6 linked regions of the Rattus norvegicus genome follow. The protein of the gene in region 3 interacts with the protein of the main gene of each other region in a pairwise test. Links are inferred from orthologs where the notes say so. Each region holds a gene or a part of one and is shown on either strand. Other genes may lie near its edges. The genes, in order: Ccnc, Prkaa1, Pnma5, Zmynd19, Cstpp1 and Rad23b.

Region 1 (4,208 bases), on a different chromosome or scaffold from region 3:
TTCATTGAAATTACCATACAAAATAGTGACCAGCTATACTATACTACTTCAACCAATGTAAAAGTTTACCATTTGTAAAAAATATTTGTAATTTCCAATACTCCTCTTCTGAGAGAAACTTTAGGTCCTTCTGGCGCTCTTTCAACAGATCTTGTTTATCCAAAATCCACTGCAAACTAGAAAAAGTAAAGATGTCAAAAAGTGGTATAAAAAGCCAACAAGTGGAGGTGGGGGGGGTTGCTTGAGCTGGGGTACTGGGAGAAGAGAGGGCTGATATTGGGATGTAAAGTGAATAAACTAATTTTAAAAGGCCAACAATCAAAAGCACCTAAAACACTAAGATTTAATAAGCTGGTCATATTCTAAGTGGTATATCTCTTTTCCTTCCCTCCTTCCCTTCTCCCCCCTCTCTTTCTTTCTGTTTAGCCCTGGTTATCCTGGAACTCCTTCTGTAGAGCCGACTAGCCTCAGTCTGGCAGAGATCCCATCACCACCAAGCTTCATGCAGCACTGCATCCAGCTTTTTTTGTTTTGGGTATATCTTTAGAACATTGATAAAGGACAGTGTCTGGCTAGACAGAGCGCCAGTCTACTTCTGAAACTTAATTAACTCTTCAAAACGGGTCTCTAAAATACTGAGTAAATTATGTTCAACAATGAAATACTTGAGTTCTTCAATACATGCTCACCCATTTCAAGTAAATTCAGCCTTGGAGCAAATTTTACATTTTTCTAATTTAATCTTTTCCAATCAGTGTTTTCACTATCACCCCAATGTTTCTCAGTTTTGTTGGACCAATGGAATCCCTTTGGTTTTTGGATGCTATTTGTGACTGCTTTGCTGACTATCTTCAAATAATTCTATGCCAATCAGTTTGATTCCCATTCTGTCTGGTCAATAAACAAGGATGCTGTGGATGCCATTCTAAACTCTCAGGTAAGTTATTCATCAGATTTCTCTAGCTTTTCAGCAGTTCACTGGCAGCCTCAGCAAGACCATTTGATGAAGAAACAGGGAAACTTGAAGCTAAAGAAACTCTTGATGGTTTCAAAGATTCTCTACCTCTTTTTCTCCATTTCCTTCATAGTGTCCTGTGGACAAAGCACCAGCACACAGGTTCTCAGACCCTCTAGAATAAGGCCCATTCTCAAAGATAAACTCTTGCTATATGCAAAGACTTGCTACTGCCTGTTTTAGGATTACATCACTGAGGCAGACAATCAAGGCATTATCTGAGTACCAAGATTAAGTACAGGTCCAAGCTTAATACCACCTTTTTGGGTCATCCCCTTCTGTATTTCATTTTTTTTTTTAACTGAAACACCTCAGTGAGTAAAATCCCACAGTAACCCTTCACTAGCATTTCATCATCCCAGAAACACTTTGTAGCAAGAGAAGACATGCTTTCCAGAAACAAGTCTCCAAATTCAGTTTCCTTTCTTCTTCTCCTCCTTCTCCTTCTCCTTTTCTCCTTCTTCTTTGTTCTCAGGCAAAGAGGAAAAAACATCCAACCCAATTCATAGAATTTGTTGTTGTCTTCAGACTAAAATTCAATCCTGCTCAGTTTTTAATGTACTTAATGGAAAGCCTGCTCAATGCTTAGCCCAATCGCACAACGGGTCCTGTATGTTTAACCAAATGTATTTAGAGACAAATGTCTTTAACATTACTTTAGCCCTTCTATGGTCATATGGTCACCGAAAGACACTAAAATTTAGTCATTTAAATGGTTAAAGGAAGAGGACAAAAATCTGGAAAATACACACCTTTAAAGCAAAATATAAGACACCGGCTAATGAATGAAAATAGATATATTCGGGGTTGGGGATTTAGCTCAGTGGTAGACTGCTTGCCTAGCAAGCGCACGGCCCTGGGTTCGGTCCTCAGCTCCGGAAAAAAAAAAAAAAAAGAAATAGATATATTTTAAGAGCCCCTGTGCTCTCAAATTCTAGGGGCATAAAAGTCAACCTAGGAGCCAGTAAGTGGCTCATATCTTTAATTACAGCACTCAGAGGCAGAGGCAGGCGGGTCTCAGTAAACTCGAGTCCAACCTGGCTTATAGCGTGAGTTCTAGAACAGCCACCGCTTAACCCAGGGAAACCCTGCCTCCGGGGGTGGCGGATAAAGGTGAGGGTGGGGGGATAAAGGTGAGGGTGTGTGTGTGTGTGTGTGTGTGTGTGTGTGTGTGTGTGTGCGCGCGCGCGCGCGCGTCTAACCAATCTAGGCATAAAACTGAGCCACGAAGCAGAAGGTAGAAACAAGCACGACTCACTCCTCTCCTCTAAGTAAATAAAGCAAACCATGTCTGTCCGAAACAGGCGATCTCACAGAGCTACAATGGGTCACTTCCCCTTGCCCACATCATCCCACCAACCAAACCCCCAAATTTTAAATGAAACCGCCTCTGTCTCCCTTCCCGGAGACCGGACCCCTTACCTATCCTTCGAGTTCACTTCCCCTCAGCCCCCGAAATCCCGCTGGGCGAAGAGGGGAAATCCGCAAAATGGTGCTGCTTTTCGGACCCCCGGCTTCTACGGGGGAGGTGGGGGTGGGGACTCACCCCCAGCAGCCAGGATGGAAGTCCCGAGGGAATAGCAGGCCCAATCCTCCCGTGCCCCAGACCCGGTCCCACGCGAGAAAATGGAAGCTCACTTACTAGTGGGAGCTCTGCCAGAAGTTCCCTGCCATGGAATACTGCTTGCCCTGATACAAAAGCACCAGCCGGCAAAGCGGCCCGCGGAGCAACCATAGACACAGTCCCTGGACTGTGTTACTCAACCAGACCGGCTGGATTGAACTGAACAGCAACCGCAGTCAGAGGAAGAGAACAACACCGTCGCCTTGACGCCGGCCGACAACACTGAGCAGCATACACCGGTTCCGGCCGACAAAAGTTCCGGCCCGCCCTAGTAGCGGAGGAAGCAAGCAAACACCAGACTGCCAATGGGCGTGTTGAGGCGGGTCCCCGGAAGTTGAGTAAACACGGACAGAGGCTCGTGGTGGTGAGAGGCTCTGAGGAGGTTTCCTGCTAGTTAATTTCTAGAGCATCCTCAGTATGGTTTTCTGGTTTAGTGCGGTTTTCTTTTGGGTCCATTTAGGGATCTTGTTAATCCACCTTGAAGGCCTTCCAAAATAGCACACCGGCGTTGAAAGAAAGCATGGCATTATATAACTGCTCTTTTCCTAGGATTGAAAGAAGAAATAAATGAAAGGCATTTTGGCTTTAAGATCTAAGTACTCTTAGTGAAGTTCTTGTTGGTGTTAAGTCTAACGAGTTAGCGAATTTTAGTGTGACAAGTGTAGCCTTTTTAGAGTAGCAATCTTTTTTATGTTAGAGCCTGCTACTTGTATATCTAAAAACATGAGCATATGAACATAATCTAGCTACACTTACGCTCAGCAAATTGATATGCTGCAGAAATGCAATAATTTGATTTTATAAAATGAAATAATACTTAAATGTTTCTGTTATCATTGTAACATTGCATTTAGTACTGTACTTTGGTGGCTGAGACTGGAACATTATGAGTTTCCGGCCAGTCCTTGCTTCCTGCTGAGACCCTGTCTATGGGATGAGGGGGAAGGGGTAAAGCACAATCGGTAAAGTGCCCCAGAAGCTCTGGGTGATACTCAGCACTATATACACCTGCAAGGTAAGAGTATTCACACCCTCAGCTACTATCTTAGTCAGTGTTTCTGTTCCTGCATAAAACATCATGACCAAAAAGCAAGTTGGGGAGGAAAGGGTTTATTCAGCTTATACTTTCCACATTGCTGTTCATCACCAAAGAAAGTCGGGACTGGAACTCAAGCAGGTCAGGAAGCAGGAGTTGATGCAGAGGCCATAGAGGGACGCTATTTACGGGCTTGCTTCCCCTGGTTTGCTCAGCTTGCTCTTTCATAGAACCCAAGACTATCAGCCAGGGTTCTACAAGGGGCTGGGTCCTCCCCCACCCCTTGATCACTAATTGAGAAAATGCCTTACAGGTGGATCTCATGGAGGCATTTCCTCAAGGGAGGCTCCTTTCTCTGTGATAACTTCAGCTTGTGTCAAGTTGACACACAAAACCAGCCAGTACAGCTACATTGTTTCCGGCAAGCCTAGACTAGGTGAGAATTTCAGCCTCAGTTTTGGGATCATCCTGGCTGGTGTGCCCTGACTCCTGTCCTTAACTCTCCAGCCCAGAGATTGGACTGAGAGTCCCTC
Region 2 (2,588 bases), on a different chromosome or scaffold from region 3:
AACTTTTCTTTCTTTAGAAATTGTTCAGAATAAAATCAGGGGTTAAAAACCCAATCCCAGCATTCAGAGCTTTTAAACAATGTCCGTTCTATGCGCTGGATTGACTTAAAAAAATACACAATCAAATGACATTCAATACTGGCTGACATGATAGCATGTCTGTGCACTGACAGAAGCAACATGATTCGGTACAGTGTGAGCAACTCGGCTCTTGGATCCAAAGCAGCACTTCATACACAAAACGTTTAAGGGGGAAACTGTAAAAGCAAGTTCAGGGCTCGGAGGGTCTGAACATATAAATTCTGGTGGGTTGGGGGCTTACAAGCCAAAGAAAAATTTTAAATTAGACTGTTATCTGAAATGACTTGCTACATAAAAATAGTATTTTAAGAGGAATATGGAAATAGTTCATAATGTTACCCAAAATGGGAAACAGTAACTATTTCGAAAGTTAAGGAGCCCAGAAAACAGCATCGCCTAGGTCTTGTATCATCTAGGAAGGTCTGTGGGGATTCTAGGCAAACTCACTCAATAAATTCATGAAGCTAATATAAAACACATCAACATGTACTGATATGTAAAGGCTTTATGGTAAATTTATGGTCAACAGAGACCTGTTACAGCAAATTCAAATGGCCAAAAATCGAGTGAGCCTGAGGCCTATAGTCCACTGTGTGTTACTATGCGATGTGTGCCTACTGAATAAGGGCTAACAGAATGATCCTGATTCCTTTCTGCACATTAGGCTTAAACAATCGATCATTTTCCAGGCCCTGTGCAAGCTGCATTGCAGAAGGCCAGTCCTTAGTTATATATACACACACATATAACTCGGTAAGTGGAAGTATTTGGCTATTATTTAGTAAGCATGCTTATTGCATCAAAGAAATAAGCAAAGTTTTAGGTTTACTGTGCAAGAATTTTAATTAGATTTGCACACATTTCAAAAAATTCTATCGTGTGACTTCCTGGTCTTGGAGCTACGTCAACAGGAGAGGAGTCGAGGGAGGTCACGGATGAGGTAAGAGAGACTTCTGAGGGCTTTCCTTGAGCCTCGGCGTCGGAGTCGCTCCTTTGGCAAGATCGATAGTTGCTGATGGATCCCGATCTCTGTGGAGTAGCAGTCCCTGATTTGGCTTCTGTAATCTCATCTGGGTGAAAAGAATTTCAACATTTTATTATGTTTCTCCCTCAAGTGTTTAATCAGCACCTGAGTGAGACTACTAACCAGCTCTCCAAGCAATGGCCGGTCAACACAGGGTGTATCATAGAGTGCTCTTGACTTTGACACTGACTAAGAACCAGTAAACTAATAACACGGGTTCTAATAAATATCTCACAGACTCACTGGACAGTGGCAAGCATGCCTTTAATCCCATTGCTCAGGAGGCAGAGGTAACTCTGTGGGTTGGAGGCCAGCCTGGTCTATGGAGTAAGTTCCAGGACAGCCAGGACTATACAAAGAAACCCTGTCTAAAAAGCAAAACAAAACAAAAGATACAAAATCGATCACTTGCAATATGGAAGGTGTCTTGGAACTTAATCTCACCCAGGAATCGTTTTCCTGAAATAAAGCAGCCTGGGAAACGAGGGGTTTGCCCAAGTAGCCAAGTGGGCAGTGAGCTCCCACAACTCAGGCTCCCGCCACTCAAGCGCTTCACCCTTCCTACTCAGGTCAGTGCTCTTACCCTGCACTCTCTCAAATGTCACTTAGAGCAGAAGAGAAAAACAAACCTATATACTTTTAAAGATTTTACAGAACAATAGTCATTTTCTACCTTGGGGAAAATGGTGATGGTGACTGAAGCCAGTGAGGCAAGAACTTCAGTACTGAACTAAATCCCTTGCCCCAAGATAATAATCTATAAAGCATATACTACATGGAGCAGGAATGACAAGTTTCACAAATATCCCTCTTGCAGGACATAGGAAGTCACATTTCCTGCTGAATTAGGGCGGTGAGGACAGAGGACAGGTATGATAGTGCAGACTGGGGGCCGGGGAGAAGGCTCAGTAGATAGAGAGACTGCCGCACAGCATACAGACCCTGCCTGATGCTGATCCCCAGACCCATGTCAACATCAGACCAGTAAGGGCATACCCATAATGTCAACACCGGAAGTCGGAAATGAAAGGAACCCTGGAGCTTGCTGGCCAGTAAGTGTATCCTAAAGGGCAACCTCCTGTTTGCAGAGAGACCTTGTCTCCAAAGTGAGAAGGAAGGTGAAGAAGGGAGACACCTGACATTGACCTCTGTAGCCCCTCCAAGATACAAACAAAGGGAGGGAGAGACTAAAGATAGAAAGAGAGGAAGAGAAGAAAGTGCCGTAGTGAAGCTTACTACTTTGCATGCTTAGTTTTTATTAAAAAAACAAAAACAAAAACAAAAAACAAAGACTATAAACCAAATTAGGTAACCAGGCCAAACACATCACCTCCATGGTTTTACGTGTACATACCATCAATACTTCGGAAATCCAATAAGTAAGTCCTACTATCCACTTGGTATAGCTGTAGACTCATTTTGGAAAATGTGCTTGTCACAGGGTTCTTCCTTCGCACACGCAAATAATAGGGGTTTACAACCT
Region 3 (3,680 bases):
AGCAGGGGGTACAGCCTCTGGACAGTAATGGGAAGGGGAAGGGGCGTCCGTATTGGGAGAGCCAGGCAGTAGGCAGAACCCTCGAGATGGCCTCTTCTGGAACGTCCACGCGTTTGGTATGGATGGCAGATGGAGGATGGCGCTCTGGTAATGCCGCCAGACCACCCCTCAGCTCGGCAGGGTTTGGGGCCAGCCTTGGCAGAGTTGAATTCACTGGCTCTCCCTGCTTGCTCTCTGGAATTCTCCAGCAGCCCTGGACAAAAGGGAGAAGAACAAACTACGCCCCCCCCCCCCCAAGCCCAACCCCGACACACACAGAGTCCTCCTCCTGATGTTCTTCCATCTCCTGTTTGTTCGCACAAAATCTGCCCTGCACACTCCCAGGCTCTCAGGCCAGCTGAGGGCATTAACCCTATGGTGCCATGTGCCCCAGCCTGGGGCTCTTCTCAGGCACTGGTGTCCTGTCAGGTGCCAAGAGGGAAACTGCCCTGCGTTGGCACTGCCTAGCCCCCATCCCCCCATCCTTTGGTGGGTCTGGAGATTGGGGGTTTCACGGGGGTGGGGGGAGTTCACTCACGGAAGGACTCAAGGGTGCTGCCCTCATGGGGCTCCCCTAGAGCAGTGTAGATGATCCTGAAGACAGGCTGGATCCTGCGGCCTCCTCTCCTGGGTACTCCCTCCCTCCCTAGCTGTACTTGCTCCCAGGCACTGGTGTCCTCTGCCCAAGACAACCCCGTGGCGGGCTCCTTTATGCCCTGTGCTGCTTCAGTGCTGGTGGGCATCCTTAGCTCAGAGCACCCAGCGTCACCATCTTGTGACCCACTAGTATGCCAACTACAGTCTGGATGACCCTGTAGTCTGCTTATCATATTAGCTCCCCAGTTCTGTCTCTGACACTCCCTGTGGGCCTGGCATTTGGTTGTCACTGAGCTGCATGGAACTTGCCCTTGCTTGTTGTAATCATTTCTAAGTAGTAAGAAGTTGGGGGCTTTACCCTGGCCCCGCTGCTCTTCTGCAACACCCATGTCCCCTGCTCTTTGCCTGGGCTGCCCCATGATTTTGTCACAGTATCTCTGTTGCCTGCCAGAGGAAGGAATTCCTGCATGTCCTGAGCCTATATTTCCTTGGGGTTGGGGTGGCTCATAGCCCAAGCCCCTCTCTCGTTTCCCGATTCCTGTATTGTAACAAAGGGTTTCTCCTCATCTGATTCATTTTCAGCCCAGAAACCTGATTCCCTCATATGTTCCTCTTCTCCAGTACTCTGTCTCCATAGCAGTCGCCTCCGTTTCACTGATGTGATCTCCTCTCCTATGGTCTGGGTGCTGATCTCCCTAAAGTACTCCTCCTGGGTAACAACTTGATCTGCTGTCTCACGTGTCCTGTTTTCCTTTTCTGCCTGATTCTGCTCCTTCCCTACCATAGTGGTCTCCCACTCTTCCTCATCTCGAGTGAGTTTCATTAATTCCAGAAAAGTAGGTGGGCACCCTTGCTGATCTAAGAGAGATAGTTTGCCCCGAAGGCCAGTGGTCATGGAGACCCTAGATAAGATATGCTTGAGACGAATTGAATCTGCACTGTGTGTTGACAATGGGCTCTGCTGTACTGCTTTTTGCAGCAGGGGCTCTAAGCGTAGCAAGTAATCAGATATCTTCTCTGCAGGTTTCTGAGAAGATTGAAGGAACCTGAACTGGAAGACCTTACAGTCCTCTTTATTCCCAAAGATGTGCTTTAGGGCTTTCAAACACTGCTCCACAGTTAGGGAGTCATTGCTAGCCCACAGTGCCTGCATGATTGACAGGGCAGAGCCACGCAGACTCTCCACAAGGCGCTGCTTCTTCTCACTCTCAGACACCTGCCATAAGTGCATCAGCTCAGTGACCTCCTCTAACCAGGTCTCAAAGCTTTCTTCTCCTGGGCCGGGAAAGGGACTGCCAGAAAACACTTTTAGTTTTTGGTAACATGTGCCATTACTGCACAGAGACTTCAAGCCTTTTGGTTTGTCTTGGTCTAAATTCTTTAGCTCCATTCTCCCTGTAGGGACAGTGCTAAACCCCAGGGCTTTGGCCACATCTACCATTCTCCGCCCTTCATCTCTCAGAAAGTAGATCAACTTATTGATAAACTCATCATCTGGGCTACGGGGTTTGACAACCACTTCCCAGGCCCCACCCTCTGCTGGTATATGAGTAGGCATCATAGTATAATCGACAACTTCAGTCAGTTCAATTAAGACTGCCTTAGCTTCATCTTCCCTCCTGAACATTCTGCCTATCACCTTGTGTGCACACAAAGGAGGTAAGCCTTCTTTCAGAGCATCCTTTATCTCAGCTTCAGTGCACTGTACGGGGATGCCCACAATGAGTACAGCCTTCCTGGGGTCCAGATCCATCCCCTTACACCAGTCATCTAATAGAGCTACAGCCATTGTTCCCTCCCTCTATGGGCAGACCTAACACTAGCACTCAAAGATTCTAAACCAATGCCATACAGAAAGGCAGTGATGTCCTGGTTTCCACAACCTGAAATGCAAATGAAGTTAAGGTGGTACTTAATGATTCCCATCACCTTTCCTCCTCCCAGACATTCAGTCTTGTGCAATCACAGAAAGTTTCCGGAACCTCACTGAACCCTGCTGACCTCCAGTTGCAGCAACCTCCTTGAAAGTCCAGGGACGCTACTCCATATTCTGCAAGTACCTGGAGGGAAAATGCCAATGTCAGGAGGCAAAGAGCATACCTGAGAGTACTGGAAAAGACCCAGTGGAGGACAGAACAGGAGAACACTCTGCCACCCACGTAGTGCTGTATTGGATTTAGCCCATTCCTTATTAGGTCCAAGACTGGCAGCACATAGAAAACTCTCCTCCTCCTGAAGAAGTGCTCAACAGGTAAGAAAGATGACTGGAACTCAGCAGATGTGATCACAGTGCTGGGTGCAAAGAACATATGACAAGCTAAAGTGTAGGCATGGACAGAGGAACAGTGTAAATCTGGGCTTCTACAATAGATTAAGGCCTTTGAAGGACAACAGGTGCTGTCATGGTCCTCCAAGTAATAAAGCATCTTAGCCACAGGTATGGACAGCAGGATAGGGCAGAGACTGAGGAGGGCTGATAAATCAAGCGTATGGGTTTACATAGTATGGAATCTGGAATTAAAAGCAAAAATAACCCCAGAAAGTAAACAGACAACTGTCATCCCAGGTATGGCCCTACCCTGCGGTCTGTGAATCTTGGCAGGAAACACGTTGAACCAGCTCTTTGCTACAGTTAAAGGCTACTCCCAAAATAGATGCTCACCCCGCTGTTTTCTGTGTAGTACCTACCCTACTGAAGTGCTGAGATGATGACTTTCCTGGTACTGGTGCTTGATCCTCACAGTCTTCTGGCTCTATGCAGACAGGCAGTGCAGGAATGCTGGTTCCTGCCCACTGATCTGTTCAAGGCAAGGCAGAGCAATATTTAATATGGTCTGTCCTGAATGTCCCTGCCCATGCAGGCTGTAGCAATTCTGAGTCTGCTCAAGAATCTAAAGACAGCCCCTTTTGCTGGGTGTGGTTGAGCACATCTTTAATCCCTGCACTTGAAGTAGGCTGAGGCTGATCTGTCAGTTTTGAAAAGTAAGCCAGCGGAAGCTACTTTGTAAGACTTTTTTTTTTTTTTTTTTAATTCCTTGCAAGGA
Region 4 (3,979 bases), on a different chromosome or scaffold from region 3:
TAAGGATGTAACCTATGACTGACTCCCCAGAGGACCACAGGTCTCGAGTCCCACTCGCTGTTTAAGTGACATGTACATTAGTCATCCCTTTGGGTTAGTGGCAAAGGTCACAAAATAAACTCCCAGGCTCAGAGAAGATAAGGTTGAGTCTGACCCCACTGAGTAGAATGCTCTCTTTAGGCACACTGTGCACATCACAGCTCACATGGGGCTTAGGTGGGGAGACTTCTCAGTTGGAAAATACTCACCATAGCAGCTCATGCAGAAGCCTGCCCGAGCCCCTTCCCCGGTTTTTGTCAAAGGCATATGCAAATATCTTAGCACCGTTTCCATCAGCGTCTACTTCCATCCGAGCCTGGGCAGAGGACAGAGCAGAGCGCATCTGTTGGAAAGCCTTTACCTCTCAGCACACTTCAAATCCAGCTCAGAAAAGCTCCAGAGGTACAGATGATATCCTGCTCCTAGGACCCCAAAAGTACAGGGAGCACACCCTGACCAACAACTTGCAAAATGCTGTGGACACCAAGAAGTAAATTTTTTCTATCCTCAAAAAAGGCCAGAAGAGACGATGGGGAGCTAGAGATGGCTAAGCAGTTAAGAGAATTGGCTGCTCTTTCAGAGGACCCTGGGCTTGATTCCCTACAGCCAGCCACCTGGTAGCTCACAACCGTCTGTGACCCATGCAGATACTCAGATCAACATTAATACACATAAATAAACTCAGGGAATAAAACACTTGAGGGGGAAAAAGCCCATGTTGGCTGTGATAGTGCACATCTGTAATCTCAGAACTCAGGTAACGGAGACAAGGAGATTTGAGTATTCACAGCTGGCTTGGGGAGAACAAAACCTTACCCCCATCCCCCACTCGCCAAAAGGCCACCAGCCAGAGAGGTGGTAGTTCTTGACCAAGAACAGTGAGGGCAAGATGGTCTCCCTAGTTAGGGTGCAAAGGTGTGTGCTCACTTGGTTTAACAAACATGTAACCATAAACACAACAAAACAGGGAGTTTTCAAAGACCAGTATTCAGGAAAGGAGGTCACAATGGGCTCTACTAGCCAGCAGTGTCCAGGTTGTCACAACCTGCTTTGGAGCTAAATATCATATCAGTGGTATCCTCTTGTTCTCCCAGAACAAGGAAGGAAATTCATTTCTCATTCCTCCTGGGCACCAAACAGTAATGCTCACCTCAAAGGAGTAGCTCTCCACCAGTGGTATGTCCTGCTCATCTATCAGCGTGTATTTGGTCTGCAAATAAACCATGTTTCAAAAATTACATCTGAGACCCACCTAAGAAACAGTAACAGCATAACTTGCAGCAGCAGGAATCTGTAATACTGTCCAATGAGACAGAAAGAAACCACATCTTAAGTGGGGCCTTGCTCAGAGTCATTTGGCACAGCCTGCAATCAAAGTGCAGTTCAAACTGGGCATGGTGGTACACACCTTTAATCCCAACACTCGAAAGTACTGGCAGACAGAACCCTCCTGTGAGTTCCTAAACAACCAGGACCATAGAGTGAGATTCTTCCTCAAAAAAGAAAAGAAAAATCCTTTCAAGTATGTTAAAAGCAAAACATGACCACATGTACCAGTGTGGGTAATTAGGCTTCAGAGCCCATCCACACCTGATAGACGGTCCCTAACAAGTGGCACTGAGCTTTTAATGCACCCGGAAACTCAAACATGTCTAGTGGAGTAGAGGAAGGGAACGGGGCTAAGAACATCAGGTTCCAAGTGATGTTTGTTCAGTAGATGGATAGTTATTCCATGTGCTAACTGGATAGCCCTTCTTCACCTGGTCTCAAATATTCCTAATAAAAGCTTTAATGGCCCAAACTCCTGCAAATAATTGCGGAGTAAAAGTCTCCCACCCCTCCCCAGTTAGAAAGTTCCAGTAGTTCTTTCCTAAGCTCAACACAGGTTGCTTTTACTTTCCTGGAAGCTCTTTCTAGGATCTCAGTTACCTGCCTCTACTTTCTGTCTGCTCCTCTCTCCCACTAGCAGCCGCCGCCACTGGTGGAAGGAACAGACTTAAGGTCCACAGTTCCTGAACAGCACCATGACACGAAGCCCAGCTTCAACATGTGGTGGGTGGTGGCCCAGGCGAGGAGCATCTGAGAGCCTTAAAGCCTACCAAGATCAGGGCCCTGGCTCTTCGTCTGTGCTCTAGGAAAGCCTGTGACTCGAGTGACCGAACGTGGCCAACCTTTGGTCAACGTTAAAACGCGCCGCCGAGGGCTACCGCGGACCGGCTGCTCCGCTCGCCTCAGAGCTTCGGGCCAAGAGCGTCACGGCGGGAGGCCGCCGCGTTTAAAGCGTGCGGTCGCAGGTGCAGCCCGGCCGCCGGAGCCGCCGCAGGTGCCCGAGGAGGGAGAGGATGAACCCCGGCAACTGTTCCGCACCAGCCAGTCCCACACGAGTCCTGAGGCCGAGGGGCGCGCCCCCGGCCGCGGGGAAGACTCCCGCGAGGAAGGCGGCGCCCGGACCATGCAGGCCCGCGCAGCTGCTCGCCCTGGTGCCCCAGCCCGCGCAGGCCTCGCCGCCGCTCCACACCGCTCACCTTCCCGGCCACCCGGCCGAGCCGCACGATGCCCAATTTAAAGTCGGTCATGGCCGGGCCTGCGCTCTGGGCAGGCGGAGCCGCTCCCTCGGGAGGCTCCGGACCGGACCGGGTCGGGCCGTAGCGAGGCCGCGGCACTCCGGGTCAGGCCGGGGCCGGGGTCAGGCCGGGCGGGCCACGGGCGGACGAGGCTGGGCCAGGATCGGGCCACCGCCGCCGCCTCGCGCCCGCCGGACCTGCCACGCGCCGCCGCCACCGCCGCGCGCACCCCAGCGAGCGGAGCAGAGGGCGGGGCGCACCCGGGACACACCCCCCACCGGCGGCGGCCGACCAATCACGAGACGCGCCCTTCGCCGGTCGTGGCGCGCCGCGGCCAAATAACCAATGAAAATAGGAAACAGGCGCAGGCGCAATGAAAAAGACCCAAGTGCGGGGGAGGGGCGAGCCGGGGGCGGCGCCTGCGCGGCGGCCGGCGCAACGTCAATTTCGCGGGAAGCTTTGTGCGCGCTGCGGCCGCGGCTGGGGCGCGTGAGTGAGCGCAGTAGGTCGTGGCTTCTTCCTGACAATAGCTGCTTGCGTTCGGGTCTCTAAGTTGTGCACGGCGTAGAACGTCTGTCGTTACCTGGTGGTTACCGGCTAGCAGGATGCTGTATGGGTCGTCCAGGTCTCCAGAATCATCCTGCGAGGCAGCGGCGAGTACCTACTCGATGCTTCCTGGAACCCAAGCGCCTTAGGTCTCCTAGAAAGGATAAAACCTTCGGGAAGGAGCGGGAGGCTAGGGCGGGTATCTGTCCCCGGAAAAGGGAGATCTGGTAGTCTGGAATCCTGACAAAGCTGATAAGGCCTAGAGTTCGAGCCCAGGGCTAGACTCCACCTGCTTCAAGGTGACCTCAGGCATCAGAGGATCTGCAAATGTTTCTACCTCTCTTTGTTCCAGTTTGGAATTACCGGGAGCAAAGGATTGTCGAGTAAAGCTAGATCTCCTCTCAGCCCTTGGTGCTTAACATTACTCCCAGGTGCTTTTCTGCTCAAACCGCACCTGTTCCGTTAGCCTCTTCAGACTTGTGGATAAGAGAACTTTTTAATAAGAGGTGGAATGCTTAGGATGATGCAAAGTGCGCTCCCTGGTAATAAAACAATTTGTTCTTGCATATTCCTCCAAAATAGTAATTCAACACATCCCACATAACTTGAAAGGAGACCCAGGGGGTTGGGGATTTGGCTCAGCGGTAGGGCGCTTGTCTAGCAACCACAAGGCCCTGGGTCCCCAGCCCCGGAAAAAAAAAAAAAAAAAAAAAAAGACGAAAGGAGACCCAGGATACACCTGTTAGATCCCAGAGGCTGCCCTTGTAGAGGAGATTGGCCATACCTCATACCCTATTGAGTACCCTTAAGCTGATGAGTGGGTATGAGGA
Region 5 (4,102 bases), on a different chromosome or scaffold from region 3:
AGTGGAGTTGGGGATTTAGCTCAGTGCCTAGCAAGCGCAAGACCCTGGGTTCGGTCCCCAGCTCCGGAAAAAAAAAAAAAAGAAAAAAAAAAAAGAAAAGGGAGGAGCAAGTGGCTTTTCCTGTTAGGTTTGGGTGGTGACAATGCTACAGACCTCTTTCCTGTTCTTGCACAAAGGGAGGAGCAAAAAGAAGTATCCAGTTATTTGAAAAGAAAGGAATAGTCTTCCTTCTTCAAAAAGGGCACAGCTGAGGATATGTAATAAATGTTCACGTTCTGATTTATTTCCTTTGAGAAGAGAAGTGTCTCTGTAGGCAAAAGGAAAGCCGCTTGGACAAGATGTCAAATAATACAGTATAGGAGCAGAAGCAGATTCTAATGGCTAAAAGGAATTTGAGAGGAATGGTAATTAACTTACAGAGGACTTTAGTTTTTAAAATTATATTTTACTGGGTGTAGGGGCACACACCTTTAAAACAGTAAAAACTCTGGGATCTGCAGGGGTATATCTCTTAAATTCAAGGCCAGCCTGGTCTACAATCAAGTTCCAAGCCCTCCTGGGCAATACAGCAAGACCCTGTCGAGATATATATTTAGGGCAGGGACATGTGGAGGTCAGAGGACAACTTGCAGGAGTTGATATTCTGTTTTCACAATATGGGGTCCCTTGGATTGTACTCAGTGGCCTTTAGTGAGTACCTCTATGTGTCTAACTAACCCTGTTAGAGGCTAAAGACATGTCCCTGATCTCAAGAAGCTTCCAAGATACAAAGAACATTTTGTACAAACTTTGTACAAAATTAATAATAGATAATGAGATCTCAGTGTTATGTGAGGTCATACATGATAATTATTATTAGGATAGATAGAAACTATGACTCCAGAAATTGCGGATATGAGCCGCTGGTAGTAATTCTTCCGCATCACAAAATATGACATATTCAGAGGATTCACTTCACAGCTTCTAAAACCAAGTCCCAAAAATAGTAGGGGGGAGGGGATGGGGGCTTATGGAAAGGAAACCGGGAAAGGGAATAACATTTGAAATGTAAATAAAGAAATATATCTAAAAAATTTTTCTAAAAAATTTTTTTAGAAAAAAAATAGTAGTTAAAGAAAAACACTCAAGTGACTGCTTCCGGAACTTATGTGATAGGCTCCACGTTGCCAGTCGGAGACTGTTTACGTGACACCCTTTCAGCCTTCTAGTTCTCTGGCCGCATGGTGCCATGGCAACAGAGACAGGCTGTAACCTGGGTTCCGGAAGAAGAAAGCTGGAGCGTGGAAACTACCCGGTCAAAGGATGCTGAGTCCCGAGCGCCTAGCTCTACCGGACTACGAGTATCTGGGTAGGGGCCTTCTTTCAGCTTCGGGAAATGAGTGATGAGTTAGGGGAAGGAGTGGGGAGGAGACAGGGGCGGAGCCTGAATGGTAGCGGGTCTGGATGGGACCGGAGGGACAGAAAGAAGGGGTCCTAGGGCCTGAGCCTGTAATGAATGTAGGACCAAATCGGGATGAAAAATAACATTTATGGAGTAAAGAATGGCTGAATTATATGGACTGGCACTCAGTCAATGAGAATTGCATTCTAAATAACACAATTAAGAATCTGAGGCCTTAAATGAGGCTATTATATTATTGAAGCAAACTTGGCATCTGAAGTGACATCAATCATTTTGTGAATAATAATTTTGCCTTCATAGTGTGCTGTTATTTCAAGCTATTCTTTTTCATTAGGCATTTTGCACGCGATAAGCATTTTGCATGCAGCATTCTTTCTTGGAAGGGACTGCTGTGTTTTCTACTTGACAGATGGAGAAACTAAGGCTAAAGAAACAACTTGCATAAGACCATACGGTTAGATAGTATTAGGATCAGATTTCCCCACTGAAGAACTCGACCTTGCTCTTGAACTAAGGCTATGTGGTAGTAAGGACTGTACTTTGTAAGCTCCCTGCAGTGAGCATGTGAGGCCTTTACTGCACACATTTGTGGATACACTTATATGCACACATACACACTTAAAAGTTCACAGACTTAAACATTTAGAGGAATTTTAAACTTATAGAAGACTGAGCTGATAACAGTTCTTTTTTTTTTTTTTTTACCCCTCTATATCTTCTATCTAGCTTCTATTATTAATTTCTTGTGTTAGTCTGGTACATTTCTTGCAACTGAATATTAGCTCAGTGTGATTACCAACAGCTTATGGTTTACATTAGGGTTCACTCTTTGTGTTGTGTTTTCTGGACTTAGACAAATTCATATTCTCATATATTCCCATTCAGATGTAAAACAATTGTTTCCTTGTCCTAAAAATCCTCTATGCTTCACCCATTCATTCACCCTTTCCGTTTCACTACTGATCTTACTGACTTTTAAAGTTTTGCCTCTTTGAGAATAGTGGGAGCCATTCCGTGTATAAGCTCTTCAGATGGGCTTGTTTCAGTGGGTGTTCAGGTTCCTCCTTGTTGTTTTGTGACTTGATAACTCATTTCTTTACATGGATGAATAACATCTCATTATATGAATGTAGCATACACATTTTTAAAAATAAACTACAACTCTGGATAAATGTTTTATATTTTGAGAATTGATCTCTCTATGTAGCCTTGGTTGGTCTTGAACTCACAGAGATCCTCCTGCCTCTGTCTACCCAGTGCTGGAATCAAAGGAATGAATTACCAGCACCTGGCAGATGGTTAAATTTTCTTAATCATACGAAAAGTTGAGCCAAAATTACTTTTTAAATATAAAGACATTTATCTTGGGGGATGAGAGAGATAGCTTAGCAGTTAAGAGCTCTTGTTACTTTTCCTGTTTACCTGAGTTTGAACTGTGGCACCCACAGCATGCAGCTTAAAGTTTCTGTAACTCTGGGGAACCCAAGGGCTTCTTTTGACCTCTGCATGTGTGTGCATACACACACAGAAGACATGTATATAGAACAAAAGTAGAAATAAAAAGGTAGCAATTTATAGTAAAAAAGATGCTCCCCTCTTTCCCCACCAAGTCTGGCATATTCCACAGAGGTAACTACTATTGCTGGTTTTGTGTACATCCTTCCGGAGTTTATTTTGTACATAAAGGAACATATAGTGCACAGTTTTGTTTGTCTTCATTTAATGTATATCAAGAATAGGGAGCTTTGTCTTTTCTTTTGTTTTATGTTTTTGTTTTTGCTTCTTTGTCTTTTCAGACAGTATTGTAGACTTCAGTCACACCATGTAACTGAAGTTGCTCTGGAATTTCCAATCCTCTTGGTTGCCTTTGCCCCAGGTAGAAACCTCTCAAGTTGTGGGATGGCAGGTGTTACGCCGCCACCCCTAAACTGTCATTTCTTTTAAACCTCACTTTTAGCTACTTAAGTAATTAGTACTTAAAGAGTTTATTTAACCAAGTCCATGTTGATAGATAGTGAATTATTTTTTAACTTTTTATGGTCACTAACTATGCCTCAGTGAATAACCTGCAATTCTGTTCCTTTGCATGCATGCATTTCTACAAGGATAAATTTCACAAAGTGAAGGGCATCGTATTTAACATCGAAACATATGCCACATAGTCTTTCACAGGAGTTTTTGTTTGTTTTCTCTTTGGAGACAGGGTTTCTCTGTGCAGCTCTGGCTCTCCTAGATCTTGCACTGTAGACCCGACTGGCCTTGAAATCACAGAGATCCAACCTGCCTCTGCCTCCCATGTGCCGGGATCAAAGGAATACAGCCCCCATCACCTGGCCACAAAGGTTTCTATCATTTAAATCTGACAGCAGCAATATAAGAAAATGCTTGTTTCTGCGCAATTTTGTAACAAAATAGACCACATTTAAAATTTCTTTAAAAATCTGTTAAGTAACAGCTTAGAGAGTATACTTTATTTGCATTTTTTATTGACAATTTTAAAAAAAGAATTATTTATGTATATGAATACACTGTTACTCTCTTCAGACAGAAGAGGGCATCAGATCCCGTTACAGGTGGTTGTGAGCCACCATGTGGTTGCTTGGAATTGAACTCAGGACCTCTGGAAGAGCAGCCAGTGCTCTTAACTGCTGAGCCATCTCTCCAGCCCCCAAGCAAAGAAATCTTTAGAAAATCAAGCTC
Region 6 (3,500 bases), on a different chromosome or scaffold from region 3:
CATAGTAGTCAGCTTGTTTCTTAAAAATTAAAAATATGGCTACTTGTGATGTAATTCTTAAACGTAGTCCTTACCTGTCAGCTGGTGCTGGGCTAGTAAGCACTGGTGTCTGTGCTGGCTTTTCTGCAGGTTTCTCGGGCTGAGTTGCACCAGTAGGTGCAGGTTCAGAAGATGCTGTAGTTGAGGCTGGAGTCGTGGAGGCAGGTGTGGAAGTGGGAGCCAGAGCAGGGGTGGGAGCTGGAGCCTGGGCCACAGCTGCTGCAGGGGAGGAGCTGACTGTAGTGGTGCTGGGAGAACTTGATTGCTGGGTTGTAGCTGGCACTGCTGATGTCACTGCTTTGGGCTGGATGTGTCAAACAACAAAGTAAATAAGGTATCACTGGACTTCAACAGCCACACAATCAGCCTAATAACCAGTAAACTGAACATCATTTTGTAAGCGGATGATAAAAGATCAACATTAGCAAATGAAAGCAATTCACTACTCTTCAAAGTACCTATGGAAATTTAAATATCTTAGCTCTCAAGTGCAATTAGCATTAGACAGTCCATCGAAGTCTTTACTTATACACCTTAACTGTACCTGTAAAGATTACATTGCCACATAAAAGCATTCGCAAAGTAAGTTCTGGGGTGTGAAGTAGACTGTCTATGAACATGCCCAACAATCTGCTGTATTTTAGGAGGAAAACCTCCTGCTGTAAAGCAACACGGGTAAGGACTCACACGTCTCCATGAGCTAAGGTGTACAGCTAACGTATACAGAACAGACTAGCACTGATGAGGGAGAACATCCTTTTTTCCTTTCTGAGACTGAGTTCAGCATAACTTAATTCTAAGTCTATTTTTATGAAAATTTTGTGATTTCAGTTTTCTTTAGAACTGAAAAATATTCCGTTTTTATCTATACTAGATTTTTATTATCCATTTCACTATTTCCCACTGCTATTGTTATTCTGTGACTTTGGAGGAAACTCACATTTAATCCACCACTGACTAATTTGATAAAGTAACTTTGACCATCCACTTAAACTTGCTTTCATTATTACCAAGAGTGCTTTCCATGTTTGGTCCCTCCCAAACTCAGGTATTTAAACCCTAAAGTCTTTGTTGTTGTTTTCAGTGAGTGCTGGGACTAATGACATGATGTACCACCAAACCTGGCATAAACCCTAAAGTTTTATGACAAACCAGTATGAGGAAGGCAGAAATTACATCTGACTGTGCTATTAAAGGTAGGGCCTTTTAGATTACATTACAGCAGAGACTCCATAAATAATTCCAGTGGCTTTATAAGGACCAAAAAACAAACAAACAACCCCTACACACTGATAGAAATCCAAGCATCACCACAATGACAACATGCTACTAGGTGTCCTTGTGCAGTCTTCACCATGCTGTTCGGACTTCCAGTCTCCACAACTGTGGCCTGATAATAAACCCTTTTCTGCTTTACACTTTTACCTTGGATATTTTATTACAGCAAAGATGACTAATACACTGCTCTTCCCCAGATTATCCATTTGTAAGCACATATACAAAGCAGTCTCTTTAAGGAATCAATGCTGAAGTTCTGATCTGTAAGTGTGTGCAGGCAGGGCCAGATGTCAACTCTCAAGGGCCATCCATCTTTAAAAGAAAATCTCTCGTTGGCCTAGAGCTCACCAAGTAGGCTAGACTAGAAGGCCAGTAAGCCCCAGGGCTGACCCTGTATGCCTCCCAGTACTGAGCTTCTAGCAGTGGATCTGAGCATGCATTTAATGATGTACTGGAGAGACAGAACTCAGTTCTTAGGAGGCTTGTAAGGTAAGCTTTACTTTACTGGCTTAGCTTTTCTTCAGTTCTCAAGCTGTACTTTAGAAAAGAGTTTATTTTCAAAAAATTACCCAATATATTTAATGTAGTTCAATATCATAAACCATAAAGCAATTCTTAAGAATTACTCCAGGGTTGGGGACTTAGCTCAGTGGTAGAGCATTTGCCTAGCAAGTGCAAAGCCCTGGGTTCAGTCCTCAGCTCCAGGAAAAAAAAAAAAAAAAAGAATTACTCCAAAAATCATTCCATTTTTTTAGTTGACTTTTCCTTTTTTATTTTATAAAACTCTTATCTCTTGATTGAAAACTGAACTTGCATTCTTTCTTTCTTTGGCCCTGAGCTTGTTAGGTCTAACACATACCTTATCTAGTACCTGAAAGGCTACACATTAAAAGCTATACAAAGAAAGACATTTAATTTGATTGCTATTTTTAGATGATCACATGGTAACTTAACTATTCTGGCACCTCTTTTTAAGCAGTAAACACAGATAAAGGAAAAGTAAGAAACTCTTAAGGGGTGTCAAGGGAGAAATGCCCTTTTAAAAATATAATACTTTGTTTTATCTTACATAAACACAACTTTATGGCTACAAATATCTAATGTTACTTTTCTAAGGGGCTGAGGGAAACTTGCCTACATTTGGAAAGCAGGTAAGCACACCGTGCTCTTTGTTACATATGCTGTGCAGGGTGTAGAAATGCATGAACTGTGTGTGTCCATGTGGACTTGGTCACCGCTTTTGAGATGATTTATAAGCATAAAAATACATAAGTAGCACGAAACTTACCTTTGTCACCATAACCACCACAAAGTTTTTCTCATCAATTTTATATTCTTTGAGAGCAGTATCATCACTGAGGATTTTGCCTAATAATTCAGGGAGAAAAAAAGTTAAAGACATATCAAGCTTCTTCTTATAAAGAAACTACTCTTTTTAGTGGTAACCATTTCTACCAAGTAAAACTCCTAAAGAAAACTTTAACAACCACGTGAGGTAAATATAAACAGACGTGTACTACTTTAAAAGCACAAGTGTCTTACAAGATGTCTAACATCTCTAGTATATAAAACACAAATTGATTTGTTTTTAATTTATTAACTAACTCTAAGATTTACTAGACAAAGAAATTTGAAGTCCTGAAAAGAGATATTAAAGACAAAGGAAATTAAACATTTCTTTGTTAAAAAGATTTATTTATTTATTATGTATAAATACACTGTAGCTATCTTCAGACACACCAAAAGAGGGCATCAGATCCCATTACAGATGGTTGTGAGCCACCATGTAGTTGCTGGGAATTAAACTCAACCTCTGGAAGAGTAGTCAGTGCTCTTAGCCACTGAATCATCTCTCCAGCCCCAAAGTAAACATTTCAATTGCCTAGTCACCCTTTGGGAAATAAGTTTTTTTTTCCTGAAAGAAGGAATGAATAACTTCTTATTCTGAAATACCAAACATGTGATGAAGCAGTTGTTCCAACATCGTAAAAACAAAATACGTATATACAAAACAGGCCAAGTGAGCAAACAAAACCTTTCAGAGAAATAGCACAACACACAAGAAAGGGGAAGATTGGGGTTGGGGATTTAGCTCAGCGGTAGAGCGCTTGCCTAGCAAGCCCAAGGCCCTGGGTTCGGTCCCCAGCTCCGGAAAAAAAAAAAAAAAAAAAAGAAAAGAAAAG

What was found.
Region 1: the proteins of Pnma5 (region 3) and Ccnc interact in binary tests that used the Homo sapiens proteins (3 or more experiments, as listed by UniProt). The two-hybrid records come from large-scale screens. The link is inferred for Rattus norvegicus from reciprocal best matches to the Homo sapiens genes PNMA5 and CCNC.
Region 2: the proteins of Pnma5 (region 3) and Prkaa1 interact in binary tests that used the Homo sapiens proteins (3 or more experiments, as listed by UniProt). The two-hybrid records come from large-scale screens. The link is inferred for Rattus norvegicus from reciprocal best matches to the Homo sapiens genes PNMA5 and PRKAA1.
Region 4: the proteins of Pnma5 (region 3) and Zmynd19 interact in binary tests that used the Homo sapiens proteins (3 or more experiments, as listed by UniProt). The two-hybrid records come from large-scale screens. The link is inferred for Rattus norvegicus from reciprocal best matches to the Homo sapiens genes PNMA5 and ZMYND19.
Region 5: the proteins of Pnma5 (region 3) and Cstpp1 interact in binary tests that used the Homo sapiens proteins (3 or more experiments, as listed by UniProt). The two-hybrid records come from large-scale screens. The link is inferred for Rattus norvegicus from reciprocal best matches to the Homo sapiens genes PNMA5 and CSTPP1.
Region 6: the proteins of Pnma5 (region 3) and Rad23b interact in binary tests that used the Homo sapiens proteins (3 or more experiments, as listed by UniProt). The two-hybrid records come from large-scale screens. The link is inferred for Rattus norvegicus from reciprocal best matches to the Homo sapiens genes PNMA5 and RAD23B.

What each region holds. Positions count from the first base shown.
Region 1 is NC_086023.1:40,062,275-40,066,482, reverse strand, and holds the start of Ccnc (cyclin-C), read right to left. Parts: upstream 2,801-4,208; 5' UTR 2,690-2,800; coding exon 2,658-2,689; intron 177-2,657; coding exon 70-176; intron 1-69. UniProt on the Homo sapiens protein: Component of the Mediator complex, a coactivator involved in regulated gene transcription of nearly all RNA polymerase II-dependent genes.
Region 2 is NC_086020.1:55,998,775-56,001,362, reverse strand, and holds part of Prkaa1 (5'-AMP-activated protein kinase catalytic subunit alpha-1), read right to left. Parts: intron 2,587-2,588; coding exon 2,460-2,586; intron 1,152-2,459; coding exon 907-1,151; 3' UTR 1-906. UniProt on the Homo sapiens protein: Catalytic subunit of AMP-activated protein kinase (AMPK), an energy sensor protein kinase that plays a key role in regulating cellular energy metabolism.
Region 3 is NC_086039.1:155,922,631-155,926,310, forward strand, and holds Pnma5 (paraneoplastic antigen-like protein 5), read right to left. Parts: upstream 2,426-3,680; coding exon 1,115-2,425; 3' UTR 501-1,114; downstream 1-500.
Region 4 is NC_086021.1:28,155,135-28,159,113, reverse strand, and holds the start of Zmynd19 (zinc finger MYND domain-containing protein 19), read right to left. Parts: upstream 2,801-3,979; 5' UTR 2,616-2,800; coding exon 2,565-2,615; intron 2,463-2,564; exon of another isoform or gene 2,211-2,462; intron 2,103-2,210; exon of another isoform or gene 1,969-2,102; intron 1,250-1,968; coding exon 1,190-1,249; intron 356-1,189; coding exon 249-355; intron 1-248. UniProt on the Homo sapiens protein: May be involved as a regulatory molecule in GPR24/MCH-R1 signaling.
Region 5 is NC_086021.1:97,869,163-97,873,264, reverse strand, and holds the start of Cstpp1 (centriolar satellite-associated tubulin polyglutamylase complex regulator 1), read left to right. Parts: upstream 1-1,302; coding exon 1,303-1,348; intron 1,349-4,102. UniProt on the Homo sapiens protein: Regulator of the tubulin polyglutamylase complex (TPGC) that controls cytoskeletal organization, nuclear shape, and cilium disassembly by balancing microtubule and actin assembly.
Region 6 is NC_086023.1:74,902,518-74,906,017, reverse strand, and holds part of Rad23b (UV excision repair protein RAD23 homolog B), read right to left. Parts: intron 2,686-3,500; coding exon 2,606-2,685; intron 344-2,605; coding exon 75-343; intron 1-74. UniProt on the Homo sapiens protein: Multiubiquitin chain receptor involved in modulation of proteasomal degradation. Binds to polyubiquitin chains.